Linked DNA regions of Kluyveromyces lactis. The protein of the gene in region 2 binds, or shares a complex with, the protein of the main gene of each other region. Links are inferred from orthologs where the notes say so. Each region holds a gene or a part of one and is shown on either strand. Other genes may lie near its edges. The genes, in order: RPA49, RPB5, RPC17 and RPC53.

What was found.
Region 1: RPB5 (region 2) and RPA49 share a complex: the UniProt entries of both Saccharomyces cerevisiae proteins name them as parts of the RNA polymerase I (Pol I) complex. The link is inferred for Kluyveromyces lactis from reciprocal best matches to the Saccharomyces cerevisiae genes RPB5 and RPA49.
Region 3: RPB5 (region 2) and RPC17 share a complex: the UniProt entries of both Saccharomyces cerevisiae proteins name them as parts of the RNA polymerase III (Pol III) complex. The link is inferred for Kluyveromyces lactis from reciprocal best matches to the Saccharomyces cerevisiae genes RPB5 and RPC17.
Region 4: RPB5 (region 2) and RPC53 share a complex: the UniProt entries of both Saccharomyces cerevisiae proteins name them as parts of the RNA polymerase III (Pol III) complex. The link is inferred for Kluyveromyces lactis from reciprocal best matches to the Saccharomyces cerevisiae genes RPB5 and RPC53.

What each region holds. Positions count from the first base shown.
Region 1 is NC_006039.1:265,418-273,273, reverse strand, and holds RPA49 (DNA-directed RNA polymerase I subunit RPA49), read left to right. Parts: upstream 1-5,064; coding exon 5,065-6,303; downstream 6,304-7,856. Other genes in the region: CRS1 (cysteine--tRNA ligase), read right to left, coding at 1-1,481; KLLA0_C03003g (uncharacterized protein), read left to right, coding at 1,995-3,959; JJJ3 (Jjj3p), read right to left, coding at 4,117-4,605; MPA43 (Mpa43p), read left to right, coding at 6,519-7,856. UniProt on the Saccharomyces cerevisiae protein: DNA-dependent RNA polymerases catalyze the transcription of DNA into RNA using the four ribonucleoside triphosphates as substrates. Component of RNA polymerase I (Pol I) which synthesizes ribosomal RNA precursors.
Region 2 is NC_006042.1:1,966,369-1,973,684, forward strand, and holds RPB5 (DNA-directed RNA polymerase core subunit RPB5), read left to right. Parts: upstream 1-3,209; coding exon 3,210-3,857; downstream 3,858-7,316. Other genes in the region: DUF1 (Duf1p), read left to right, coding at 5-2,668; RIB7 (2,5-diamino-6-(ribosylamino)-4(3H)-pyrimidinone 5'-phosphate reductase), read right to left, coding at 4,119-4,877; U4/U6-U5 snRNP complex subunit SPP381, read right to left, coding at 5,470-6,258; KLLA0_F21164g (uncharacterized protein), read right to left, coding at 6,650-7,316. UniProt on the Saccharomyces cerevisiae protein: DNA-dependent RNA polymerases catalyze the transcription of DNA into RNA using the four ribonucleoside triphosphates as substrates.
Region 3 is NC_006042.1:2,112,986-2,120,073, forward strand, and holds RPC17 (DNA-directed RNA polymerase III subunit RPC17), read right to left. Parts: upstream 2,236-7,088; coding exon 1,768-2,235; downstream 1-1,767. Other genes in the region: VTC4 (Vtc4p), read right to left, coding at 1-1,540; CRH1 (transglycosylase), read right to left, coding at 2,545-3,945; KLLA0_F22792g (uncharacterized protein), read left to right, coding at 5,798-6,160; APS1 (Aps1p), read right to left, coding at 6,281-6,751. UniProt on the Saccharomyces cerevisiae protein: DNA-dependent RNA polymerase catalyzes the transcription of DNA into RNA using the four ribonucleoside triphosphates as substrates. Specific peripheric component of RNA polymerase III which synthesizes small RNAs, such as 5S rRNA and tRNAs.
Region 4 is NC_006039.1:1,430,656-1,438,622, forward strand, and holds RPC53 (DNA-directed RNA polymerase III subunit C53), read right to left. Parts: upstream 4,007-7,967; coding exon 2,792-4,006; downstream 1-2,791. Other genes in the region: autophagy protein ATG9, read right to left, coding at 1-2,377; rRNA-processing protein SAS10, read left to right, coding at 4,410-6,248; MutS family protein MSH5, read right to left, coding at 6,346-7,967. UniProt on the Saccharomyces cerevisiae protein: DNA-dependent RNA polymerase catalyzes the transcription of DNA into RNA using the four ribonucleoside triphosphates as substrates. Specific peripheric component of RNA polymerase III which synthesizes small RNAs, such as 5S rRNA and tRNAs.

The DNA.
Region 1 (7,856 bases), on a different chromosome or scaffold from region 2:
TTGTAGTCATTATTCAAAGCCCTTATATTTTTGAAGAAATTAGTAAATGAAGATTCAAGAGATTTCACTTCGTTTAATAACGAATCCTTGAAATCTAATTGATTGTTCCATTGCACAGAAGCAAATGCAAGTCTTAACTGACGAGCGCTGTATTTGTTTAGAGCTTCTTCAATGGTAATAAAATTCTTCAATGATTTTGACATTTTTTGCCCTTCAATATGTAAATGACCTGTATGAAGGAAGTAATTAATCCACTGATGGTTATCATAGCAGGCTTCGGATTGTGCCAATTCATTATCGTGATGAGGGAAAGCTAGATCAATACCGCCTGTGTGGATATCTATTACAGAACCATGTATATCACTGGCCATAACAGAACATTCGATGTGCCAGCCGGGTCTTCCTTTACCCCAAGGAGAAGGCCATTCTGGTTCTCCTGGTTTAGATGCTTTCCAAAGAGCGAAATCATTGGCAGATCTTTTACCATTTTTGGCAGAAAAATCAGATAATGAACCTTCACCGTCTTGAATCAAGTCAAGTTGACCCTTATTCCAAGGCTGACATTTCGCATACTCATGCCCCTCACTTGAATCGAATTTTGCAGTATCAAAGTAAACTGAACCGTCGGAAGTAGCATAAGCATAACCATTACTAATAATAGTCTCGACAAATTGGACAATCTCCGGGACGTATTCAGAAACTCTAGTGGTAACAGTTGGAGGAAGCACATTCAATGCAGCCATATCTTGATCATATCTTTGTTCCCAATAAGCTGGAAGCTTACGGAAAATATCAGGGTCATTCAAGGTTGAACCAAATTTTTTATCCAACAAAGGTACTAACACGTCCTTCGCCAGTTCAAAGAAATTATCACCCTTACTTTTAAGACTTTCAATCGCGTTTGAAACGGATGTTGAATACATAGAGAACTTTGGATTTTCTACTTTCTCCTTCTCTAAATCTAATCCGCTAAACCAAGATTCATATTCCTCAACGGTGGAAAATTTCTGATTTAAATTCTTTTCGACGAACTCAAACAAAGATATTTTGACTTCTTCAACAGTATCTTCGGTTACTTTATTGTCATTTCTTTTAACATATTCTTCGAACAAAAAGTTCTGTCTGGCTCTAATAATAATTTTGTCGTCAATATCAGTAACATTTTGTACAAAATTGATATCGTAACCGAAATAATCCTGAAGAATTCTTCTGTTTATATCAATTGAGACGTAGTTTCTGGCATGACCCATATGTGAAGCATCATAAACAGTTGGTCCACAAGAATACCAAGTAACACACTTCGAATTAGAATGGGTTACAAATTCTTCCTTATTTCTAGTAAGGGTATTGTACAATTTTAGCACTGGTAGGGGTTTTTGTTGCTCTGGCTTGAACCATTTTGGCTGAACCACTTTTGGGGCGGACATTGTTCTTACTTTCCTGATGGCTTCAATTATAGCTAATCTTTTTCTAGCAAGCATATACTACTGAGACAAGCCGGAAGCAGTACTTAGCGCAGCAAAAATATATCAAAGATATAGTAGTTAAACCTAGACTTGGATTCAGGAGCACAGTAAATAATAATAGAGAGATTTTTCGGCAAATTAATGTTATCATTTACTTAGCTCTACGAAGGTGAAGGTTTTAAAATCCATTAAATTTTCTGGAATGAGCTAAAGGAAAATTTTGATGTTGAATCTAGGTCACATGAACAAATAAAGGCAATGGGAGACGTCGATTAACATCAAAATGGGAAAATCGATTAAGTTCTACAAATAAGACGTTCAGTTCTTCTTACGGTGCAACAATGGTACATTTTTCATAACTTGAAGAATTAGGGCTTTGAATCCATCCTATTCTATCTTGTTGACAGTTATCTGTGACAAAAAATATTTAAGGAAATCGACAACTAATTAAAGCAACTTCCAATCAGATGGTACGCTCGGCAGCAAATATTGAAAAGGAAAGTCCTGGTCAAATCAAATCACAACGAGATGCCTGTAGATCAATTATCTACTGATTCTGATCTAGAACGTGAAGAGGCCGCTCAAAGTCAGCTTGACGTAAACTCTGTCACAAGCTATGAATCCCCGAAGGACCTTTATGCAGAAGAGGCAAGCTCCTTTATTGGTGGATCTGCGGTTATTTCAAGAGTGAATACCCAACGACGGAAAAGCACCGGTGCTAAATCCCTTTATGAAGATGAGGAAGAAAGTAACGAGGGCGAATCAAGGAAAGAAGACTTCAGTAATTTATTGGCAAGTCCCGACCTTGTTGAATCTAAACCAAAGAAACTAGATGCGCAGGAAAAAGTATCAAAAGATGTCGAGAGTGATGAATCTGAGATAAGTTCATTTGATACGAAGCCATCACATAAGATTTTTACCTTCAGTCTTCCATTCGGGGGTAAAAATCTTTTGCCAGTATCTCCATTGACATCAATTAGAGCTTTCTTGTCCAATGAGCAAATAAGCAACGATGGAGTTACTGAACCAACAACCAGCTCAGATGATAAAGAAAACAGAAAATTAGATAGAAATCAAATTAAGTTGAAATTAAAGCGTCAAGAATCTATTACATCTATCGAGGAGCGCTTTCTGTTTGCTAATAATAAAGGAATTCAAAACGTAAGATCAAAAGCAGTGAAACATGCTCTAAAACCTGAAACCTTAATAAACGCAATTAGAAGTTTTTCCAATATAGATCCTGAAGAAATCACAGAAGATGGGTATTCAGTCTCACGGCTTGAAACTGTTTGGGACGAGTTGGAAGGGGATGTTGTAATTTTAGGAGGCTATCGTGGTAGTATATTGAGAAATGCTGAAACTATGAAACGTGTGTGGATACCAATAAAGGCTGGTTTTAATATTAGGAAGATCAACCTTTTATTAGGCCCAAAAGAAGATGATGAACTTCGTGCAACAGAAACCATAATTCCCGATGGTATGTTGACCCATATCGGGCCAATAGATGTTGCAAGGAAACTAATACGACGCTTAAAGATGAATCCAAACGTTAATGTAGAAGACTTTGGATACGATTGGAGATTATCTTTAGATATTACGGCAACACAATTAAAGGATAAGCTCCAAGAACTTTATGATAAACAAACGATAAAAAAAGGAACTTTCTTAATTGCGCACTCGATGGGTGGTCTTCTGGCACATAAAGTTTTACAAGATTATACGCACTTGATAAGAGGAATAATTTATGTAGGGGCTCCGAGTCAGTGTCCTAATATTTTAGGTCCCTTAAGATTTGGTGATGAAGTTATACTAAACAAAAGCATATTGAACGCAGAGAGTAATTTCTTTATGAGAAGCAGTTTTTATTTTTTGCCGCATGATGGTAGATGTTTTATCAATAAAGATACCTATGAAAGATATGATCTTGATTTCTTTGATCCGAATGTGTGGAAGGAATACGGTCTTTCTCCGTTAGTAAGTAAAGAAAGAGAAAGCACATCAAAAATAGACAAGGTTAAAGACTCCTTAAAGTTGGCAATCTTATCACCAGTCAAAATGATCAAATCATCGAGCAATCTTTTGAAAGACGAGACTGAAAACGATTTTATCACTTCATTTGAGGACTCTTATAACTATCTGAAAAGGATTCTTCCAAAGACTAAGCGTTTCTTAGATCAACTAGAACACGATTCTGAAAAGACATATCCGCCGCTAGCAATAGTATATGGTGATAGGGTTCCGACGGTCAGAGGTGCCAAGGTTAAAAATCGGGAGGAGATAAAGAAAGGACTGTATCAAGACTTTTATTACGGACCTGGTGACGGTGTTGTACATCACAAGTGGTTACTTCCAGAAAAATGCGGCTTTCCTATTGTAGCAAAGATAGCTAGCGAAATGCCACATGTAAGCCTCATGACAGACTTTGAAGCTATCTCTAAAGCCTTCATTTCCATATTGGACGCTGAGCAAACAAATACGGAGAAAGAACCGTAAAAATCTAGATACATTCAGTATGCTTTTTGACGTGGCTCTTAGTATGCATAAGTAAAGAAACATACCTGTAAATAGTGTGAATTTTTCATGACACAATAGATACAATATAAGGAAGTTCTTCAGGTTTTAATTGTGAAAACATAATTGATATGTCACATCACTCTTCCATAACGTCAAATAAGACTTTCAACCATAGTGAACAAGCCGAACATTGCACCAATACGAAATATCCACCTCCCTCATAATCTATCGCATGTTCTTCCAAAGCATCTTCGGTTAATTGGAACCCATCAGTTATTTGACACCTGGGACAATTCATCGAAAAAGATTGTTCATCTCCGCTGTAATCGAACAGATCTAGAGAGAAAAGATCTAGACCATCACCTGCATTGTGAAAGCCAAGTTTCTTGAACGATTCAGCAAGTTCCTCATCATATTTTTTCCTCAAATCCTGATCAATGAGGGTCTGGTAAGCTTCCTGGATATCAGTAACAGAATGACTAGATGTATTGTTTCCGTTGGAATTATAATTCAATCCAGATTTATCAGGATGTGTTTCCAGTAACATGGCCCTATAAGCTCTTTTAATTTCGATATTACTGGCATCGCTTTCAATGCCCAAAATTTCATAGAAGGATCGTTGCATTATGATAACTGGATGTTCTGCTACAGAACCACTCAACTTGGTATAAGTGCTGACATAGCTTTTTGTTGATGTCTGTCAACATTTCAATGAAATATCAAAAGCTAACCTCATCGCCTCTAACAGAGCATTGAACGAAATACAACACAGAAATCTATGAAAAAGCAGGTTTAACATGCAGCAGAAAAAGTAAGGCGTCCTGACTAAGCTTGGTGTAACGAGGTACTATAAAAGGCATTTATTAATCTGGCAAACGGTCGAAGTTTCGTCTTTCCAACTCAATAATCCAATGGTTCGGTCACATGACTCTTGTTTCTTTTTCCTTGATCGAAAAATTTTTGGATATGCGATGAGATGAGATGTAAAGCATCGATCACAAACTATATTGGGAAATTAGTACATCATTGAAAGGTATCCCAAGGTCCGAAATAAGCTGACTGTGTAGTAACTAAGAGTGTGGAGATGGGTTCCAAACGTGCATTCACTGAGGTTGGTGTTTCAGCTTATCATGATGAACCATCTGTTGCTGTAAGTAGCTTCTTTAAGGGCTTCCAGGCACCAAAAGATACCACCTTCGAGCTATATAAGAACAAGAAGAACAGCGACAAATACGTGTTACATGGTGAAAACGATAGACTAGAATATGAAGGTCAGACTGACGATGATTTTGTTAATTCTTCTCAGTATGTTGTTGGTGTTTATGATGCCGCCACGAAGTCTGTAGAATTGTACAAGGCACCACTGGTATCCAGCAAGGTTCTTTCCAAATCTAGAAAGAACCTAATGGGACCTGACATTAAACAGGCTAACGTCCGTGCTGCATTGATGAGAAACGCTTTAGGTGAGGCGTTCGGTACTAAGAAGGCAAAGAAGGCCATTGCTGATATGGAAAGAAACCGTATTGATTCAGACAAATTGGTTGATTCTGCGATAGATATTGTAGACACAGTGAAGACTGCTTCGAAAGAACTGCCTTCAAAGGAAGAACTGCAAGAAACTGTATCTTCTGATAGACCAACTCCGTTGGCTGATTTAGACGCAACAGATGTGGAACAAATTTATCCTTTATACAACATAATACCCAAAAAGGAATGGTCATTTATTCGCGTTGGCAGTATCATGAAAGAGCAAGACCCAGAAAAGAGGCTAGAATATTTCCCATACACTAAATTTCAATATGTGGCTAACAAGTTGCCAACTCTAACACAAGCAGCACAAATGCAAAAATTGCAATTACTATATTATTTATCACTTTTGGCTGGGGTGTACGATAACAGAAGAGTTAACAACAAGACAAAATTATTGGAAAGAATAAACAACCCTCCAGATGCCCTATTAAATGGCATTTTGGAAAGGTTTACCATCTCTAGACCTGGTCAATTTGGTAGATCAAAAGATAAGTCATTCTTTATCGATCCACAGAGGGAGGACAAATTGCTATGTTATATTTTGGTAATTATTATGCATTTGGATAACTTCATTGTTGAAGTCCCACCTTTAGCTCAACAACTAAACTTAAAGCCTTCCAAGCTTGTCAGTCTCTTCAAAATCTTAGGTGCTACCGTTAAGGGTGCTACTGTAGCTCAAGCTGAAGCCTTTGGCATTCCAAAGTCTTCTGCCTCAACGTATAAAATAGCAACTTTGAAGGTACCATTCAAGCTACCAGAAATGATTAGAAGAGGTAAAGGGCCAAGAAGGTAGCTTATCCCTATGATTTAAGTAGAACATGCGTTTGTATAATACTTTTTTGCAATTGATCTACACTTCTTCAGAAATCTATTTTACTATATAAAGAAAAAGAATTATTCATCTCGTATTATCAACCTTCATCTTATAATGATCAACTAAAAGAATACAGAAAGTGATGGTATAATCGAGAAATTAGAACTTAAACATCATATATAGAACCTGTGGATATGCAAGATGTTGGGATAGGTGTCGATCTGGGATCTACCGAGTTTAGAATAGGTATTTTTGATTATTATACTGATAGCCTAGTCAAGGAAACGAAAGAAAAAGTCCCTTATTTTAGGCATGGAAATGGGATCATTACCCAATGTACCTCTGATATTTTAACTGCTGTAGAAAAAGCATTCAATACTTTATATATCCAGGAGTACAACATTTGTTCATTGGGTGTAGGAGCAACTTGTTCGATGGTGGTTGGGAAACAGAAAGATGAGAACTTAATTCCCTTCAATTTGATTCATGACAAGAACGGTAGATATCACGATATCATTTTTTGGATGCATTCAGCAGCTATAGAGGAGACGGAATATCTCAACAATATTACAGACGAATCAATCTTATGCCACTTCGGCGGGAAATTTTTCCCTGAAATGGCAATCCCGAAATTGTTGCACTTGAACAAATTATACAAAGACGATGGGCTGACAGTTCTCGATTTGCATATATGGCTATTGTGGAAAATTTCTCTCAAGTTAGGTCATAAGGAATTAATGCCAGTTCAAGAACCAAATTCAAATGGTATTGGACATGATGGTGAGCTATTTGGTTGGAGTAAGGAATTCTACGAGCATCTACAGTTAAACAAAATATTCATAGGAAACAATGCTGTTATTAAAAAAAATGAACAATTTGGGGATAGCTGTATTGACTGCTATGCGAGCTGGTTTCAATGCTGGTCTACTGCTATGTTAAATCGCACTTTGTTCGTTGTAGCAGGAACTTCAACGTGCTTCTTATATGCAAGCGATTGTTTCGAATCGTTTATACCGGGTATTTGGGGACCTTTTAAAGACATTCTGGTAAACAGGAAACATATCAGCAAGCACGACAATTATTCTGTCTATGAGGCTGGTATATCACGCACTGGGGTTCTACTTGAAAAGCTTCTAAGTACACACCCGGCGGTAAAGGATAGTGACGTCAATTTCTTGGAAACTGTTGAACATAAAATTGATCTTATTGAACAAAGCGATACTCAATCAATTCACCTTATGATAAAAAATACGTTTTTTCATGAGGATTATGAAGAATTTGAATCAAGCTTTGTTCAAAAAGACACATCGGGAAGTATTTTGAAAGAAGGTTATAACCCAACGTTGAAAGATCTTGCATTGAAATACGTCGTTATAATCGAAACCTTGGCCTTTCAAATCGTAGATGTAATCAATGCTTTTGAAGAAGGTCATATAACAATATCCAAATTGCTTATAACTGGCAGCCAGGCTAAAAACTCCAGGCTGCTGCAGATCCTGCAAGTATTACTCGAAGAAATATCAATCGATACT
Region 2 (7,316 bases):
ACAAATGAGCAAGTATACGTTGTCGTTCGGTTTGCTTCCGTTAGAACTGGATTCTGATACGAAGCATCTTTTGCCCATCAGCTCAATTACAAACTTAGATTCTACTGTGATAACTACTGGACGTGATGGGAACGTAGTTATTGAAGAGACTCAGACGAAGTTGGCTGTGCATAGCGATTGGATCAGTGGCATAGCTTGCCTATCTGCCGCCAAATTTTTAACGGTGTCTCATGATTTCACTATCTGCTACAACTGGAAAACGACTATTTGGAACCATAAGATTGTCGGCTACCATGCTGACTATGTGAAGGGGATAGCTTTAATAGGATTAGAAGACATGAAATGCAGATACGCCACGGTAGGTTTGGATAAGAAGCTAAAGATCTGGGAACTGGATCTTTTTGAGGTGGAGAACGAGGAAGACGTTGAAGCTAAATTACTTGGAAAATTCGATAACACCACGCATCATGATGCAGGGTCTATTTATTGCCTGACTGCTACGAAGGACGTCATTATCTTTGGAGATAACGAAGGCCGTTTAAGCTGGTACGATATAAATAGTTACAGTGTGATAAGAACCATAGATGACGCAGCTGGTGTGAACTTAAAGACTTTGAAGCTTTTAGATGATGAAACAACCGTTCTTAGTACAAGCGCAGATGGAGAGATCAAACTTTGGAATGTTGAAAGTGGCAAATGCCTTTGGACCAAACAGTTGTCGCACGCAATATGGTCGGTAGAAGGAACGCTTTCTAAAGATTTATTTCTTGGCGACTGCATGGGTAATATAACGCAACTTCAAGGTAATCAGATATCTGTTATCTACAAGCCAAGCGATTGCGACACAAAAACAGGTGGCATTCTGGCAATGGCCATTATAGAAGATGTGTTGTGGTTCTCCAGATCAGGAAATTCGGATCTAAACAAGTTGAACTTGTTGAGTAAGAAGCTCACGGTTATAGAAGGTGGCCATGCACTAGTGCGGTGTTCTTTGTTGACAAACCGCAGACATGTCATCACGGAAAATACATCCGGTGAGTTGGAGAAGTGGGATATTGTTTCTTGTGAGCTGGTTGAAAAAATCAGCCGAGACGAAGGTAATTTCGATGAGGTGGTCAGAAAACTGAATCCCAAAGAAGTCTTACAGCACTGGTGCTCCGTTTCGATAAAACGAGGCATTCTTTTTGTAAAGATCAATGAACGTTTCCTGAATACCGAAGTATACGGAAGTGCCCTCACCGATTATGTAATAGTCAACGAGGATAAAGTTGACGAAATTAATTTGGACGAAAGATACAATTTGGGTCGTATAGCTGTCAATTCATTATTACATGGTTTTATTGATTATGAATTGGCGAAGGATAAGAAATTCAGAGAAGATATTTCTTCCACAAAGAAGCAAACTCCTCCATCTACTCCAAATCTATTAAGAAGACACAACTCAATGGCCTCTGACCATACGAACCCTGATCAACATAAAGACAACAAAAGTATCAAGGAGAAAAGACGATTATCTATATTTACCAAGTTCACTCAATCAAATAACACTACCCCGCAAAGTTCGGCCCCCAACACCCCCAATGGTATACCTGACGTCCCACATACATATCACGGCATAATCGAAGAAAGCGAAGATGAGATGGGAATGATGTTACCTGGCCCAGCAACTGCTCTACCTACTTCATCGAAACCGGCGAACCTCACTTTGACAAGGTCTGTTACTGAACAAAGTATCGAGAGATCTGCTACACCTTCAAGCACATTTGGTTTCCATAACAGATCATCGAGGGTAAAACTAGAAACTAACAGCATCGATGACCTTCATAGTATCTCTTCTACTGGGAATGGTGAAGTGAACTTCAAATTCAATTCAAAGAGTTTTTCCAAAGATCTGTCTGAACGAAAGCCAGGACTTTTCTTGAACGAATATATCGAAGAAGTTTATCACGCTTATTTGAAACAGGCTCCAAACTCCTCATCAACGTTCATGAAGTTTGGGAGGCGGATCCCCGAGACTTTGTTCATCAGAGACTCAACTAGACCCGTGATACAAATCAAGAGTGGATGCATTCTCACGGTCAACCATTGGAAAGAGGGGTCCACAGGGGAAACTATTGCATTTTCCACATATCTCCCACCCCCTACATATACGGCAAACGACTTGATCGATAACTACCATACTTATGAATCATTAGAAAGACATCTCCCGATATGGCTTGGAAAGATTCTTTTCAAAGAGGATAAAGTCATTAAGACGTACCCAAAAATCACATTCATCATCCAGCCTTGGAAGGACGAGGCTCATTTATCGGAGGAAACGCAACAATCGCCAGAGGCTGAAAGACTAGTAGTAGAACATAAAAGATCAGGGTTCCACAAAAAATCTAAACCACCTGAATCACCCTTAATGCTACCGAAGATTAACGATAGCAATGTTAGATTAACAGCTGCAAATATGATAAAGGCAAAAAAGATCAAGACTTACATAGTGGATAGATTCGAATCAAAGACACCTGAGATGAAAAACAAAGAAGATCCAAGCGAATGGTTAGAAATCTTGTGCAAAGGAACAGTACTAGAAAACGATATCACCCTGAGTGCTATACGCACTTTATACTGGAAATCAAACACAGACATTGTTCTTGAATATAGACGTAAACCGACTTAAAATTAAGAGAGACTGTGAGACTAAGTTCTCACCCAGGCTTATCAATATATATATATATAACTAAATATAGACATATATACAAACATAGAACTACACCTGCCGCCCTTGACTCAGAGCATTCCATACCAACACAAGACAGGCACGTGACTGAAATCATGAAGGACGAGTTTGATGGTTTGGCTCTGTTTCCTTCTTTCATCGCATTGAAATTTCGAAGGTTTGTTGAAGTTTTTCTTTTTCTTTTCAGCCAAAATTTTCCAAAATTTAGAAAGCGATGAGAAACAAATCCATTAATTTGTTGATTGAAATTTAAGAAAAGATTGAAGTTAGGTAGCCGAATAGTCCTTGTACCGGTTGAAATTAAGGGGTAAGATTAGTTTGCATATCGATAATTGAGTTCTTAGTACTTGTTTGTGCATATCGATAATTGAGTTCTTAGTACTTGTTTGTGCATTTTAGAATTTAATACGAACTAATCTTCAAGCGGAAAAAGTTAGTTTCATAAGATATCAAAGGCAAGTGACGCACAATTTTTGTAACAATGGATCAAGAGCAGGAGAGAAACATTTCCAGGCTATGGAGAGCTTTTAAAACGGTGAAGGAAATGGTTAGGGACCGTGGATATTTCATTACCCAGGAGGAAATAGATTTGAGTTTAGAAGATTTTAAGGCTAAATACTGTGATTCTATGGGCAAGCCACAACGTAAGATGATGTCTTTCCAGTCCAATCCAACCGAAGAATCAATAGAAAAATTTCCTGAGATGGGTTCATTATGGGTGGAATTCTGTGATGAAGCATCTGTTGGTGTGAAGACGATGAAGAATTTTGTGGTTCATATTACGGAAAAGAACTTCCAAACTGGTATATTCATCTATCAAAGTGGTATTACTCCAAGTGCAAACAAGATTTTACCAACTGCAGCACCAGCAGTCATCGAGACTTTCCCAGAAGCATCTTTGGTTGTCAATATTACACATCACGAACTAGTCCCAAAGCATATCAGGTTAAGTGAGGCTGAAAAGAAGGAATTATTAAAAAGATATAGATTAAAGGAATCTCAATTGCCTAGAATCCAAAGAATGGACCCAGTAGCATTATACCTTGGTTTGAAAAGAGGCGAGGTTATAAAAATTATTAGAAAGTCTGAAACTTCTGGACGTTACGCAAGTTACAGAATCTGTTTATAAGAGCAATTAAAAAGAGCCATTCCCCAACCCTAAGTAAAGTAAATGCGTGTGTATAATAATAGACCAAATTAGAGCAAGAGAAACTAATAGGGCCTTAAACACACTCTTCGTATGAGAACCCATCAGGGGATATCATAATCTAATTACGATTCTTTTTTCAATTATTTAAGGAAATGATTAATCACGTTTTGAACATAGCATGTCTGAATTAAGAGAGTTCATTGATATAAGAATTCGAATTTTTAGGAAAACAGGTAAAGATCAGGAATGGCTCACAAGACGTGAACATAACACGCTATCCCTTGTTCCCTTCCACCAGGAGATATCTTTCAAATTAATTTCAATAAGAGGAGACACTTCAACACCCTCACTACCCAAGAAGGTGGCACCAACGGTGATGACCAGGGCATCGATAAGGTGTGGTCTCTGTAGCAAATCATTGATAACAATCCCACCACCTTCAACCATGATGGATTTTAATCCGAATTGAGATTTCAATTGGATGAACAAATCGTGCCAGTCCACTTTACCTGTAAAATTAGTTTGCATCACTAAATAGTCAACGTTCTCTTCTACAACTTCTGGAAGCTTTTTCACGACTACAATTGGTGCTTTACCATCACCAGAATCAAACAAAGTTTTCATCTTGGAACCCTCAAACTTCCATTTCCCGTTTGGATCTAAAATTATGGGCCTTGGAGAATGTTCAGCAAAATGTTCTGGTTTTGGCTCATCATCTGGCCACCATTTACAGTTCAAACCGGGATCATCAACCAAGACAGTACCACAACCCAACATGATACCGTCAAACTTGTAACGGAGGTAATGGGTCATTGTATTAGTTTCTTGATGAGAGATAATAGTTCTAGTCCCTTTGATCTTCGCAATACGAGCATCCAACGATTGCGCATAAGTTAAAATAACGTACGGCTTTTCCTGTTCGCCCAAAACGCCAGCATTTTCCGGCATGTATGGTTCTAAGAAGGAAACCAACTCCTTTTTCAATGGTTGTATAGGCATGGCTTTTGTCGATGTATATAGCTGACGCGTTCAGTTGTGATTGGGCAGTGATGTTCCCAGTTCTTAAGCAGAAAATAAAAGAATGAAGTTTTTATCTTCTAAAACTTGAAGCCAATTTCGGGTTGTTTTAATACTCTTACACTGAAATATATCTATGAATTATGAAACTCTGTGTTGAGATAACACTTTTCCGGATAATTCAAAGTGATCTCAGTCCGATAAATTAAAACGAACTCTCAAAAGCTCTGAGTCAATATTATTTCAACAGCACAAATACTAGCACTCAGCCAACGTTGCCTTGCCAAAATAGATCACAGGTACTCGAAAACAACACGTTCCCGCTGAAGGGATCTTTCCGCAACTAAAAAAAAGAAACAACATTGTGGAAGTCACCTGTGTTAAACATACCAAACTAAAATCTTTTGAGGTACAGTCAGTTGCATGATTGTTCCTGTTCTGTTGTGGAATTCCTTCCATTGGTTATGTTCGATGATAATAAAAGAAAAAAAACATGACGCATCACGTGAGATACTTTTACAGCTATGTAGGAACGAAGGTTGGTATGTGAGTCAGTAGTAGCTCCAAAATGTTTCTACTCTTCTATGTATCCATATTCAGTGTCTTCAGTATCGTTATTGGTATGGGAGGATGCTAGTTGGAGTTGGCCTTTCTGCAAACGGGCAGGTATAGAGATATCTTTCTTTGAATTAACAGGATGTCTATTGCGTGATGATGCCTTCAAATCGAAGGAATTGAGGTTGGAATCATCGTTCAAGTCCAATTCCTTGAGCCAAGGATCATCTACTTTACTGAGCTGCGATGCCCTTTGCATCTCTTGTTCTTCGATTAATAACTGCTTATCTAACTTCTTTTGCCTTTCTCTTTTCAACCTTGCCTGTTGTCTCTGTTCCCATTGCAGTTGTTCTTGTTCAGGATTAGTATTATCAGTGTCATCAATGGCAATTATTTGACTCAATATCGATTGATCTGAAGTCTCAGAGGCTACTATATTTTCCGTATACTGCTTCTGTCGAAGAGCTTTAGCTAAATATGCAGCTCGAACTAGACTTCCGTTCTCACCTGTCTCTTCTGGCTGATTTTGCTCATCTTTCCTCTTTCTCTTGAGAAATACAGGCTTGTGTAACGTTACCTCATCATCACTACTGCTACTACTGCTGCTACTGCTACTGCTACTACTATCTGGACCATCTTTACCGCTGTCACTGTCGCTGTTCGCTTTTGTACTTAAGTGAAGTTCAGATTCGTTCATCGGATTCGAACTGTAATTATCATCTCTTGCTGTAGTAGATTTTTCGTCTGAAGACGAATTTTCAGAATCGCTAGACTCTTGCACTTGCTTCTTGAAGTGTCGTATTGCCATTTCAACTGCTTGTTTGTAGTCAATACTGAACTTTCACTCGCTTATTTCCCTCTTTCTCAAGCTTTTGACGTATACTTTCGATTCAGATTGTCATATTATTATTATATCATTATCATTATTCTAAACAGGGCTAAAAATGAAACATGATTCCAACGTGAATATATGATAGAATCTCTCTCTCTGAATGCGACAAAATTGGATTATGCCAACATAAAAGCTCTGCCAGAAATTAAGTATGTTATATAGGGGGTAGTAGTTACAATTTAAACCAATCCACCTTGCTGATCCCTGTAATTTTGAACTATAAAAAGTAAGGCGGTATGAACATGGATAAATCTGTTCACTCGTCTAAAATAAGGAAATGTATTCGGAATTGAACTAGGATCTAGTACTAATAGTTGTTTAGTATCTTAGAGATAATAGATTTAGCAGATTCCCAAGATTCATCGAAGTTGAATTTTTCATTTTCATGTTCGGAGGAGTCTTCATTAGCGAAAGGATGCTGTTCACCGCTATGTCTCTGACTACCTTTCTGGCTGTTTTCTGACTTAGCGTGTTTCTCCTCATCCTTAGAATGTTTCTTTTCATCTTTAGAATGTTTCTTCTCGTCCTTAGAATGCTTCTTCTCGTCCTTAGAATGCTTCTTCTCGTCCTTAGAATGCTTCTTCTCGTCCTTAGAATGTTTCTTCTCATCCTTAGGTTGCTTCTTCTCGTCCTTAGAATGTTTCTTCTCGTCCTTAGAATGTTTCTTCTCGTCCTTAGAATGTTTCTTCTCATCCTTAGGTTGCTTCTTCTCATCCTTAGGTTGCTTCTTCTCGTCCTTAGAATGTTTCTTCTCATCCTTAGGTTGCTTCTTCTCATCCTTAGGTTGCTTCTTCTCATCCTTAGAATGCTTCTTCTCGTCCTTAGAATGTTTCTTCTCATCCTTAGGTTGCTTCTTCTCATCCTTAGGTTGCTTCTTCTCGTCATCACCCTTGTCATCGTGTTCCCTATCTTCCTTATGTCCCTTGTGGTGCTTCTTACCCCATTTCAACTTCAATGGTTCAGATTCGTGATAC
Region 3 (7,088 bases), about 150 kb from region 2:
CATCTTCAGTGTCCTCATATTCGTCTTCATCATCTCTTCCAGGTCTTGTGATATTGATGTGAGTTGGGATGGCGGGTTTCCTGATATCAACATCCATTTGAGGTAGCCAAAATGGAATAGAACTGACTCTGTCGTTGAGAAGTGACGCGACACCGTGAATGAATTTAGAAAACTTAGGCACAGGTTCAACTAAATGCGAGCCCACTAATTCTCTGACCCATTCTGGAGGCTCTTGACCCATTTGAGTTTGTAGTTTGACTTCCAAAACAGCGTAAGGGAATCTACAAATGTCTTTTTCAGGCAACTGATTGAATGGCCAATCTACACCAATATCCATTCTTCTCCAGTTACCGTTGGTTCTGTCATGACCATCAAAGTTATCCTCCCTTACCATGGACAATTCAGTATCTAAAGAAATACGCACGCGGGCATCACCAGGCAATTGGAAAGCAGTTCTGTTATAGAAACTTCTGGCCACTGGTCTTAGTTTCTTCTTGAGCATTGTATACTGTGTTTCTGTAGCCAACGCCTCTAGATTCTCAATTTCTTGGATTGATTTCTTCCCCTCTCTACGCATCTTGGCGAACGCTTGTTCTACAGTATACTTCCCATGCAAGAAATCATTAACGTACTTTTCCTTCAATGCGAAACGAGCTTTGACCGATTTTTCACCAGTCCAATCTTCTCTATGTGTCTTTCGTTCGACGAAAATTGTGTCAGAGCTCATACCACCGTACCATCTCAATCTATGCGCCTCAGCACCTTCATCCTTCCTCAAACGACCGTAGTATAGATCAAGGTCCTCGTTATCGTAATAAATAGAGGTAATGGCACTGTCTTCTTTTTCAAACTCTTTGTTAGTGTTGAAAACAAGAACCGGCAAATGCTTTAGGATGATCAATTTCAACTCTGTAATATTATCTGGATGAACCCAATACTTTGTAGTTTGTCTAACGAAATTTTGTTGTTTCCCACCAGCAGCAGAATCACCCTTTACAGGATTACCCCTGGTTCTAACGATATCGTAAAGTTGTGAAAGTTTCACCACCAATTCATCGTAATTTTCTTTAAAGAACGGTTTGGCATCCATTCTGACTTGGAAAATAGGTTTCAAGATGAAATTGGTATTCTTATCATGCTTCTTAATAATTTTTTGCAAACCGGTGTAGTTTAACCTGGCAAACTTGGCCAAATCATGCACATCAGCAATGATATCAGACAATTCTTCTTCTAAGATTTGGAAATCCAAATCTGTAACCGGAACATTTGTATCCAAAGAACGCACAGCGACAGAAACTTGTTCCTGGGCTTGCTTGATACGACGCACTACCTCGTTATGCTTCACTTTGCAAAAAGTGTACACTTTATCCAATTCAATTTCCAAGGACTCCAAAAACTGAGTCTCCAAATCCTCGTTCCATTTTCCGTTGTTAGCTTCCAAGGATTCCTGTAACTCCGTCTTCAAGTCATTGTAACTGATATAGTAATAACTGTACTCACGAATCAAAGATCGCTTCAAATGTTCACCAAATTTTACCATCGTTATCAGTATCAGCTATTTCAAAGGTCCTGATGCAAGTCTAACCCACTCAGAAGCCCTGATAACTACTTTATTCTAGGGTATCCCTTTTTTCCCTTATACTGTCACTTGGAAACATTGAAACTCATGTTCCTGATCTTTTTTCTCATTGTATTTCGGTCTGTTATATGTGATTTTTTTCTCCAAGCATTTAAACATTATAGATATTGTATTATGGTGTATAATAATTAGAGGCACGTGCGGGAGATGCATTCGAGAAGCGAGGTCACCTGACCTTCGTCAAGTCTTGATTCGCACTCTTCGACTATGCTATACAAATGGACCAAGTTTGTTGGTAATTGGTTCACTATTTGTAGTTTTTCTGCTTTGTATAGTGGGAAAGCATTTAATTCTTGCATTAGTGTTGAGAATTGGTCTGTAGTTAGGTTCAGCAGTGTGGATTTGTTGGCGTTATTGGGTACGGTCTTGTCCGACGTTTCTGGTTCTTCTGGGTCTTCTGCTGTAGTGGAACGCTGTGTTATGTACCTTACCGTGTCTCTGGTTATCGTTTGCAGTTCTGGATGGTAGTATGGTTTGTTGTGTTTCCTGTCTGATTTTGATCCAGAGGTCCATCGGTGTTGATTCTGTAATGATATGAGGAACTGCAAAGTTTCGTAGTCGCTCATAAAAGCGTTTTTTTCCTCAAGCACGCGCATTTTCTTGGAATTTTGTTATATGAGAAGCTTTTTACTTGGATAATTCAGTATAGGCCGATACAGTCTTTATTACTTGCTACTCTTTGATCTCAACTCAGCTCATCTCTTCTCTTTGCATGGCTTTCAATATATTCGAAGCGGTGAAAAATAATCCCGTGTATCATGATTTAGATGAACGAAACAAGTGCTCAGGGTATACGTATCCTGCTTTGTGCATACCAGTTGCATGGCTGATGCTGGTACCATAGCGATTAAGATGCACCTATTAAAATTCAACGAGGTTAGTTTATATTACAAAATGACTATTTATTAGAGAAGTAGAAGTGCTGGAATGATAGCAAGCAATTGCGGTAAATTGAAAGCAGCAGCGTTTTCTGACTGTGTGGATGTTAAAGCAGCTGATGAGCTTGTCTCGCCAGTGGCATACGATGTGATCTCTTCGTCAGCAGCGGTGGTAGTGACCAAAGATGAGAAACCTGTGGTCACAAGTTCTTCCGTGGAAGTTATTAGAGATTCAGTTGTATTCAACTGAGTTGAAGAAGATGATAGGGAAGTGGAGGAAGATGTTGTGTTCAATGCAGTAATACTGGATGATGAAGCACTGGTAGATGAAGCACTAGTTGTGTTCAAGGTGCTTTCAGTGGAAGTAGTTGGAATTGTGGTACTAGATTTAGAAGTCGTAGTGGGGGAGGATGAGGATAAGGATGAGGATGATGATGATGCGGATGAGGATGAGGATGAAGATGAGGATGAGGAAGTGGATGAAGATTTGGATGTAGATGGAGATGCACTTGTCTTGGTTGAAGATGAAGATGTGGAGGATGAGGAGGATGAAGATGAAGTGTCGTCTGATACGCTTCCACCAGAAGCTAACTTATCGAAATCTGCTACTCCTTGATCATATCTACCATACACCTCACCATCATTAGCTTCAATAGATTCCCAAGTACCATCGGTGCCTGAGTATGAGTATTCTGTACCAGTGGAGTAATCAACAACGATAACGTCTTTCAAATACATGCTGAATGGAGCTTTGGTATAATCGGTCAAACCACCTGCCCATTCAATGGTTCCGGGCTCGTTTTGGGAATCACCACCAGCCCAAATACCTGTGAAAATACGCATTGGAGACTCTGGGTATCCTTGACCATTGTCACTGGTGATAGTCCTTACCAGTGCACTGTCGACATAGATATTGATTTCATCCTTAGTCCAATCAATGGTATAATTGTGGTAAGAACCTTGAGGATCGTCCACCGAATGGAAAGCACCACGGTCAAATGTAGTAGTTTCACCCTTGGAGAAGAAATTGGATTGAACTTGAGTAGTATCAGTACCAGTCCATTCGATATCAATTTCATCAAGATCATCACTTTGCAAATAGAATGAGGAAATAATACCTTGACCACCGGCAGCCTTGGCAATCGCTTGAACTTTACCAAACATAATATAAAATTCTGAAACCAAACTTGGATTATCCAATCTCTTATTAATAGTCATTTCAACACCATCATCACCATAAGAAACATTACCGTTCGTGGCATATCTTTCAAAATATGAAGATTCCTCATCAAATGGTACAGAGATGGATTTACCCAAAGCAGGATCTGGTGAACATGTGCTGGCAGTCAAAGGATTACATGCTGTTGATTGAGCGTAGGCAACTGACGCCCCAAGGCCCAATGCACTCAAGGTATAGGTTAACTTCATTTTCGTCTGCTGTTACCTTTGGGATGTGATTCTTGCCAAATTGATTTGTTCCAAGATGACGCACGTAAAAAGAATGTCTAACCCCAATCAATATTGTAATACTAGCTCTTTTATATATACAAGAGGTGTTCGCGTATTTCAAGTTGGTTTCACGTTGATGCCCAGGGTTCAATCCGATGTATTTGAACGGGAAAATGAAGGTCAAAAACATTTGAACCAACCAAATCCCACAGAAACATATGTACCGGTGGGAAACTTTGAAAATTTCCCACTATTTGAATGCGCTACCAAAAATAAATTGACTGAAAAAATTCGTGGCTTTGATGCAAGTCTGTCTGTTCATCTTCATGATCACCGGCAACTTCTCCATTTACTATATACCTGCCATATTATTTTTCGTTGTTCTTGGCTTGTACTGTCACTTTGGTGGCTTTTTCCTACTCTTTTTGGGTTTTCTAACCTTTACTTTACCCGTTCGAGGAATAAAATTAGAAAAACTGATGAAAAATTTCGAGAAGACACAGTACAGTTCCTAGAGAATGAGAAATCGTGCTGGTTTTGATGCTTGGTTTTGCAATTAAGAATAGAAATAGAACCAGAAATAGAAATCAACATGGAAGTTGAAAAGTGTGTCACACAAATGAGCTCGCATGTGTGTTGGTGGGAGGGAGCAGCACTAGGTGATATATGCCGTAGTTTTTACTAGGTGTAGTAATTCTGTTTCAATGCTGCATAGAAAAGAAAATATCAATTCTAAAAATAGTTCAAAATTGAAATTAAAAATAATGGTTGCGAAGAGATTCGAACTCTTGCATCTTACGATACCTGAGTGTTCCCAACTGTAAGGTTGGTTAAGATAGGTATCTTGAATCAGGCGCCTTAGACCGCTCGGCCACACAACCAATTTCGTGATAGTTGTTATATTCCTCTATAGTATACTGAAAACTCAAGTCATGTGCAACGTGCTTTAACACCCAGACGACTACTGATTATTTTATTTATTGGCCGATAGTGGTGCTAAAATTTCTATGTCCACCCAAGCGAGGCGGAGGCCCAGGTTTTTACTTGTATGTTGAGAATACTAAAAAAAACAATAGAATCGATCTTCCAAATATCGTTCTCATTTGATTTCGCCCAGGATCGAACTGGGGACGTTCTGCGTGTTAAGCAGATGCCATAACCGACTAGACCACGAAACCGTTGAAAAGTTTGTTTGTAAGATAAATTCAATTGTAACTGCCACCTCCAGGAATCGAACCTGGGTTTCATCGGCCACAACGATGTGTAATAACCCCTATACTAAGATGGCATAGTACTTTGCGATGTTTGAATGTGGAACTGCCCTGCACCAAAGTGTCTGACTACCCTCACACATGGTATTCAGCGGCGTTTTCTCAGGGCATCTCCTCTTCCTTTCTCCCTGATAATATTCATAGACACACACACAATATCAAACCCCTTAGATGCCTTCACATTGCTAGTACTTAATCATACCCTATCATTCTATCGTATTAAACCTGTTCACACTTCCTAACAAAAGTACCAGAACTTACATCGGGTTCATTGTTACTTTCCGACGGTGTGCATAATTTGGCTACGACTTTTATTTTGCATACATCTACGCACCAATTTGCAGCAAAAAGCTATATGAAGAAAGATCAGGCAGGGGAAAGAAAGCGCATCGCATTCTGTGGCGTGGGTATATAATAAATAAATAACTGGATCGTTTTTGGTGAAATAGATCTATCTCAGACAAGCCAACATTGTTCCGAAGTATTGACCAAAGCAGAATATATAGTGATTCAAGAGATTGCTACGAACTATAGAAGGGGTTTTAACTAGAAAGAAAGTAATGACGCTAATAAAGATGTTTGCAGCTAGACAAGCCATAGGAAGATTTGCATTGATACAGAACAGAAACTTTCATGCTACGCCGATGAGATGTTATAAAAAATGGAATGAACTAAAGAAGGATGATAAGCAGGAGTTCATCAAGAATTTCGTTCTTTTGTACAAAGAAAAGCATCCATGCAGTAAGAGTAACGTAATGTACAGGGCGTTGGCCAGTGAAATGGATGAATACGATGATACCCCATACGTATTTGGTGTTTTGTACAATGAGATTAGGGCTGTTGAAAAAGGCGAATCTACTGATAACGAGAAAGGTGTAGGTGCGATGGGGGATGCAGATTTTGTAAAACTATTGTACAAGTAGAATTGTTGAGTTTCCGTACATAAAGAAAGAAAGGATAATATATTGTACATATTCACAATTTAATTTAAATTTCTATTCATCTCGGTCAGTATCACGTCAATTGCTTGAATGCATGCATTCTCAACTCAATACCCTATCAAGGTCATCATTTGATTCAATTGCATCCATGGCCTCCACAACATGTATAACTTCATCTTTACTAGTTTCTATTATAGATCCGTCACACATTATCATTTCATCCAATATGCTGTATGCCTTGCTAAAATTGAATATGATATCTAACTCGCAGACGTTCCCAAAATATCTATCCATAGTTTCCACAAATCTGTGTATAATTTCTAAAGTCAACAATTCGTTGTCCGAATCCAAATCAATCCCTGCAATGAAGTATAAACTGGCATATTTCTTGTACACGACTTTGTGATCTTGATATTCTAGAATATTGCACATTTTTGACTTCCTGGACAGTACGTTAGTCGTCACTTCCCTTAGTATTTTATGCTTGTACTTTATATCGAAGGGTTGATACCATCTGATTAACCTAGTCTTGCCTTGCCTCGACGTGAGAAGCATGTACTTAATCTGTGACATTTCAATGACCTTTTTTGTTTATAACGAATAGGATAGCTTTTGTCTCTTAAGCTCGGTGGTTGTGGTATTTAATGCCCTTGTTAATCGTTTATCCGTAGTTTCTCGGATACACCAATTGAAAAGTTGTAGAGCTGAATAATAACCTTAATTTTAAAACATCAACTGGGACAGAATTAGACTTAAACTTTGATTCTAGTGACCTGTTATTCTTTGTTTGTTTTCTTTTGCTTACATGCTGATTCATTCGATTCAGTTACGTTATTACATTCATGTTATATTAATAGTTAATATAACGAAAAATGAGAATCACCGCAGACGACTTTGCATGAAGCTGAAG
Region 4 (7,967 bases), on a different chromosome or scaffold from region 2:
AGTACATATATGACTGAAGCATTTTGTTAACACCCTCATCCGATTCGGTTTCACTATCATCCTGTTCTGCTTGGGAAAACATTCTCTTAGTTTGTTTTTTGGCCTTGGTACCTTTGTCAATTTTAGTAGCTTCAAACATTGCGTACTTACACACGTATCCCAACCCCTCCTCATAGACGGTACATTCTCTAAAAAAATCTATTATTCTTTCTGAATTCTTTGGCAGGGAGAACCATAATATGAAGGGAGTGATTATAATGCTGACTAGTTCCCTTAGTAATAATGTGATTCTCAAGTTGTAAAGCCTACAAAACTCATTTTTGATGTCCTCTGTATGATATTTCCCCTTCCATTCCTTTGGAGCGTAGTGTGTATACGACACAAGTTCCTCCAGTGTTTCCTCTGGTTTGAGAACCGTATACTCATCGTTGATAGAACTGTGACAAACTGCCCATAAAGTACCAAAAACAGTCATGTAAAATAAAACAGTTCTGTCAGGTGTAATTTCGAAGTTTAAGAAATTGTCTGGATCAAATATTGTCAGAATACCCAAGATTGCCACAAAAGAACCGGAAACAAACTGTATAAAGCTTAAGGTCAAGCTTAATAATGTATTGGGAAATTGATTGACATAATTGTCCGCTATTATCATGCTCAATCTCATTCTTTTTTGGAAAATATGATATAATTCATTGTATTCCCTAAATTTCCATTCAGCAATAGGAGTATATTGCCGAGAACCTATTGATCCTGGGGAGGTTTTGTACTCATTAAAATATCTGAAGAAGTTCAATAGAACAAAGTATGTTACTAAGAATGGGGATAAGATAATGTTCAAGAATCCAGCAAGAACAAACCTCTTCTTTAACTCCTCTCCCAGGTATTCTCTCTGGCTTTCTCTTAAGAAAGCTTGCTTTAAATAGCCCTTCTCATTGAATGCAAAACCTAAAATACAAAGATTTATGTTCCATTCGAGCGTCTTGGTAAGAGCACATGTTCTTAGTAGAGGTACTGGTAGGGATAAGTCAAGAATATTGTTATCATATAGTGCAATGACAAAATTCTCTTTGCGCATAATTCGATTAGCCACGTCATGCGCACTCAACCTGTTTTTTGCTTTGACTTCGGTAGCATTTGCTGTGATCGCATTCTGATCCTTAAGTAATACTAGTTGTTGAATCACACTTTGCCATGGAATAGTTTGTAAATCTTTATCTGATATGCTTAAAAGGTAGTTGTAAAAGTTTCGGATGTCCTTCAATGCTTTCACATCAAAATACAATTGTAGAACTTTAAGCCCTATGAAGGCGTAAAATATCCATAGAAATACCTTTGCAGTTGGAGAGATCTGTGTCTTATAACATTGTTCAATATGAATTTCTTCAAAAGTATGAGACGATGACAACCTTGAATAATCTATGCAATGGCCCATGTAAGTTGAAATGAATACCACAAACAAGATTGTAGCTAGATGAATAACCTTCTCTGTGATGATACAGTAGAATCCGTTCCCTAGGTAATATTCGTACACCTGCTGCAAAAAAGTGTCTAAATTTTCGATATTTGCCCATTTCCATAAAGCTCGTTCCTTTGGACTAAGTGAAGATAAGCTGTTCTTTGAAGTGCTTGTCAAAGTAGAAATATTGTTAAATATTGGAGGAGGTTTCAAATTGAAATGAGTTGATTTACCTGGTCCTGATTGTTCTGCGACTGATGGCTTTCGGAAGAGAAAACTCTCCTCAAGATTATTCGGCCTTCCGTTATTGCGAAACATCTTTGCAGGGCTATTCCCTAACAATCTTTCGAATACCCTGCTTTCCGAAGGGTTCTTGGTTGACTTAGTTGCTCCTGTAATGGGGTTTTTACCACCTAGATTCAGTCGTTGTCTACCTATGAAAGGTATCGTTTCGTCAGATCCTCTATTACTGTCACGATTTGATAATGGCTCCTCGTCTTCGCTGCTTGAAGGCTGTCCGTATTTCGAAACAGAGCTTGCCAAGTCTTGATCGCTGAAATCCTCTTCTTCTAAGTGCACTTCATCTTCTTCTGTACCTCCCTCATCGGGCTCTGATTCCGATTGTATTGTTGCCATCCCATCAGATGCTGTATCAAATCTTATGGATTGTGGCTGTTGTATTAGCGGCTCCTCATCATTGCTGTCCTCGTTAGATGAAGATGGTTCCTGATCGGATTCTATTAGCCTCACATTACCTTCATCCTCGGCATAGTTACTAAAATCCTGTTCCGTAGGCATAGTAATATGGCTCATCTCAGCGGCATCCAAAGAGTTTTCTACAGCAGATGAGTGCACACCAAACACTCTTGATAGAAATGTGTTCTTGGATCCACCATTTACTTTATCCTGACTATCCGTCATAACTCAGACTTCCAAAATTTTATTGATCCAAACTTTTCAAGTTGATTCAATCAACTGACTAAATACCGTGAGAGGTAAGGTTATGGTTGTAGTGTCCTTTCGATTATACCTTGTTTTGTGTTTGTTGAAGTCATTTTTAAGGGAATCCTTGTATACATGAACAAGTTTTGTAATGGAGCCCTGCATATCCAAACATCAACTCGTACTTAATGACTATTCTGATTTCAGGAATTATAACCTGAAAAGGCGATGCATCTTTATTAGGTTACTATGCAGTAGCTGCTGATTGTGTTCGCAGTGGTATTTGAATCTCCCATTCTTGATGTAGTTGTCTACATTAAATTAATGTTATCATACGAATTGATTTGCTGAGCTTTTTCTTCAACTATCATGTACATGCAGAAATCTATATAATTAGATATGTGGTGTTACAATCGCTCTTCCGTCGATTTGGCCTAGTAGCTCCGCTTCTTCTCCCTCCAAATCTAGTGTAACCACGTCTTGCAAAAATGTAGACTCTGCGCCCCTGCTGATATCCATTACGACGTCCCCGATCTTGATTGACATTTTGCCGGATCGATGCATTCTAATTGAACCAACGTTTCCGATCAAAGGCTCAGGTGAATCTATTTGTGTTTCTTTGCTGTTTTTACTATTTGATTGTTCACTTCCTTCATCTACTTTTGCTTCACCATTTGGCTTTACATCTTCTTCGGTGGATTTCACTGGGGGTTGTGGCTGAAATTCAGGTAGATTTGATGGGAACTGGAAGAACATAAACTTATTTGGAACGTCGTTAATCTTGTTTAACTTTTTGTACATATGTTTATGATCCTCAAATAACAAATTTGTTTCCCTGAGAGCTTCTGCGCTGTCAACAGATTGGAAATCTTGTTGAAGTTGAAGCAAACGCAGTTTTTCTTTTAACTGCTGTTCCTTCTCGTTCACTATGTCATTTAAAGTACCATCCGATTGTTCTGGTTCTAGCTTCACAGGTCCTGGTGTTGGTTCCCTGGTCTGCAAAGTTGACATGGATTCCTGGACAACTTTCTGTAGAGAATCCACCTTTTCGTGATTGATACGAACTGCCCTGACAGGGAAAAGATTGGCCAATTGTTTAGAGGCTCTGGTCTCTTCACTCATGGCTGCATCAGTATTAGAATCCTCATCTTCATCAAACAGATCGTCAGTTTCCTTCTTGAAGTCTGCCTCTGTATACTCTTTCCCCATGTTAATTCTCTTCCCAGCTTTTGAATCTTCTGCGTCCGATCCCTCTGCTTCATCATCAGAAACAGCTTTCAAACCGCGTTGCACAAGACTGCTTTGAGAACCCTCCGTCTTAATGAATCCATTATTCCCTTTATTAGATCCTCCAGAGAAATTACCAGCTGCCAATGGGCCTGATGTGATAATTCTTGTGTTGTTTAAATACTTCGGCTGCCTCTTCTGGTTGCCCTGTGGTTTCTGTGTATATTTCTTCTTCTCAACCTGTTTATTCGGCTCTTCTACCTTCAGAACGTTAGCATCTCGTTCCTCCTTAGATTTACGAGCTACCACTTTGGGCTTAAACTTCAGCGAGGTTCCGGTTGATGGTTTCCCCTGGTTCAATCCAGGTAAACGTCCACTCATCTTTAGTTGATTCCTATCACAATTTGATGCAAATAACTTCTTGACTCAAGCGTTTAATACTGCGATTCTCGACCGTTTCTTCGTTCAACAGCAAATCCTAATATGAAAACGAAGACTAGTTACTGGATACTAACCCTTGCATTGACTATTTGCGCATCAACTTTGCTCATCTCATTGTGATCTCTTCCAGTAGTAGTGCAGCTTTCAATTTTGGTGAAAAATCTTGAAAAAGCAATGTTGGAAAATTTTGTTTAAAGTTAAAGCTCATCTCATCTCATCTCAATTCAGAGAATAGGTATAACTAAGAGAATGACAAGCTGCATAACAGGTAACTACTATCAGCCGCTGTAATCGACTGTATATTGAGTTGGACTTAAATTGTACTGGACATTGTACTTCAAATATGGCAAAGAGAGGTGCAAAGGTCTCAAAAAGAGGGTCTAATCGTAGACAAGACCAGGAAGAAGATGTTGCCTATGGCATGAATGAGGTCGATGACTTTGCAAACAAGAGAGAAAAAGTGCTACTTGAGGACGCAGGTCTTGATCAAAGGGAACCAGAAGATGATTTTGATCTTTCAGTGGATGAAGAAGAAGAAGTGATGGGAATGTCAGATGAAGATAGTGAGGATGAAAGTGAAGAAGTTGAAGATGATGAAAGTGAACAAGAAGAATTAACAGGTGAAGCTGTGTATAAGAAGGTTTTTGGTAGGAAATTAGACGTTGGTGAGAATGCAGAAGAAGAGAGTGGTACTATGCTGGACAATGAGAACGCATGGGGTGCTTCTAAGGCAGAATACTACGGTGCCGATGACTTGGACGATGAAGAGACTGCAAGAGAGATAGAAAAGGAAGCTTTGCGCCAACAGAAGAAACATTTGGAAGACCTTCATATGGAAGACTATCTTGAGGATGAAGTTGATGAAGAATGGGTAAAAGAAGCTAAGGAATTCGATTTAGGTCAATTTAAAGATCAAAAGGATCAAGAACGTCCTACTGAAATCTCCCTTAGGGATGTTCTCAACATGGACTTAGAGAGAAAGGAAGGTTTCTTGAAGACATCCTTCCCAGAATACCTTCCTTTATCAAAGGAATTCAGTAAATTATCACCCGTTTTAGACGAGCTGAAACTCAAACAAACTGAGGAGAATAATGAATTGATTCAGATCAAAATTATGGCATTATCTTCATATCTTGGAACAATTAGTTCATATTTTGCAGTTTTCTTATATGAATTACAGAATAACGAAGATTTCATTTCTATGAAAGATCATCCGGTAATGGAGCGTATTTTGGAGTGTAAAGAAATTTGGAGACAAGCTAGCGAACTACCGGACACAGAAGCAATACGCTTTGAGCAAGACTCTGACGCTGAAGAAAATATTTCGGATATTGGTGAACTTGATGAAGAACTATTACAAGAACAGGATGAACTGGACAGTGAAGCAAGTGCCAGTGACGATGAGGCAGAAGATGAGAATGAGGACGAGGAGGGTGATATGGAAAGCGAAGAAGAAGAAAACTTTGATATCGAACTTTCGAACAGAGCTGCAAACAAAGTTCAGAAAGACAGGATATTACAAGACGTTGATGACTTTGTTGAAGATGAGATTGCAGATGTTGATGTCCAAGAAAAGAAAACAAGGAAGAAGACGTTACGTTTCTACACTTCCAAAATCGATCAAAAGGCTAGTAAGAAGACTGATAGATTCAAAGGTGATGACGATATTCCCTACAAAGAAAGACTTTACGAAAGACAACAGAGGCTACTTGAAGAAGCTAGAAAACGTGGCTTGCATGATAAAAATGCGGCAGATCTTAATACGGATGATATCAACTCGGATGATGAAAAGACTGCCAAAGACATTAAACGTGATGCCGAGAATGAATATTACAAGAGCATCAGGGCTGATAGACAACACAAGAAAGATTCCCGTCTTCAAGCACACAAAGAGGTGGCGAAAGCTGCTAAGGAAGGAAAATTGGCTGAATTGGCCGAACACATTACAGAAGATGGTAAACGTGCAATCAACTATCAAATTCTAAAGAATAAGGGTCTAACACCAAGAAGGAAGAAGGACAACAGAAATTCGCGTGTCAAAAAGAGAAAGAAGTACGAAAAAGCTCAAAAGAAGCTCAAATCTGTGCGTGCTGTCTACTCTGGTGGTCAATCTGGTGCGTATGAAGGTGAAAAGACTGGTATTAAGAAGAATCTAACGAAGTCTGTGAAATTTAAAAATTAGTACTAGATGATATTTAGTGTATCTATATACTCCATGCATTAAAAAAAAACTCGCATTATTCATTCGTGTAATATTTTGCTTTCTGAGTACTCACGAATTAGCAGCTTTGTCCAGCATCCAATATTCTTTGTAGTTTTCTCCGTATTGCATGCTGTATCTTGTCAGAATGGATGGACTCAAGATCAAGATCCCATGCTACAAACTCTTTCGCAATATCCTGGTCAATTCTAAATTGGTTCAATTCTTCGATAGTTAGTTTGCTGTAGTTCTTAGCAATGTCAAATCCATCTGCTATCTGAGTTGTAAGTTCTTGTGCTCTTTGGACAATGCTCTGCCTTAAGCCACAGTTTTTGGCACAGAATATACCAAAAGAGTTCGTGGCAATTCCGGTGCTCAATTTGTACAAAAAGGTAATCATTTCATCTCTGGCATTTCCTTTATTTTCCTTTTCCATCACCTGCAATAAAATCTCGGTTTTATAGAATACTACACCATTAATTTCACTAGTAAGGATGTTTGGACTGAAAACTTCGTTATAATGAGTAGATGCGATCACTCTAGGGCAAGACGAGCTCCTTGAAAAGTCCTTTATAATTGCTCCGAACATAGATAGGCCGTCAATCACATCTGTCCCTTTACCAAACTCATCAATCAAAAGTAAGCTTCTCGGCGTTGCCAATGACAAACACTTGGACATTTGATTTGCATCAATCTCAAATGTACTCTGCGTCTTTGCTACAGATTCCCGAGTCACTACTCTGGTCAATATTTTGTCCACGAGACCAATACGTGCATTATCAGCAGGAACGAAACAACCAATATGAGCAAGAAACACTATAAGTCCGTTCTGCGTTAAAAAAACAGATTTACCAGACGCATTAGCGCCAGTAATGACAGAAATTCTTTTGAAATTATTATTCCAAGTATCATTATCAAAAGTTCCGCCAAGCATGCGAAGGTCATTGGGGATGTATGTGTCTACAAGTGTTTCATATAAGGGGTGCCGGCCGTTTTCAATTTCAATTACACATTCCTTTTCCTCAATGACAGGCTGGACATAATTTTGGCTAATGGCGGTCTTAGCAAATGAGACTAAAACCTCGAGCTCTGCGAAACATTTTCCTGACAGCAAAATTGCTGGCTTTGTATTCAAGACTGCATTTTGTAGTTCAAGTAGGATCTCCAACTCTAAATCGGATATTATTCCATGAAGGTCACCATAGTGTTCGTCCATAACTTTCGTATCATCATTCTTGTAATATATTACATTCTGTTCTCTGAAAATTTCAGTCCAGTATAGCACAGCTGGATCGAACATATCTTCTATGGATGCATCAACACATAGTAAATAACCAAGTTGTGGTAGATATATCGCATTTATCAAAGCATTTCGTCCGTTCAATTTTTTAAAAAGCTTCTCCTCATTACTCTGCAATGTTGATATTAGTGTATTGTTTGCCTCATTTGCCACAAGATTTAAAACACCTTCAAGCTCGAAGTAAGTTCCTCTTGCCTCATCTAGTTCTATACGAACTTTATCCTTTATAACAATCGCATCTTGGTTAAGGGACCCCTCCAAATCAAGAACACTTTCGGTTTTCTTTAATATCTTCAACATCATGCTTTTATCAAGGTCATTTTTTATGGTGTTAAATAACCGGCAATTATCTGAAGAATCGTAGAGAATATGGATTAAGTTTATGATCTCGACAGTTTTGG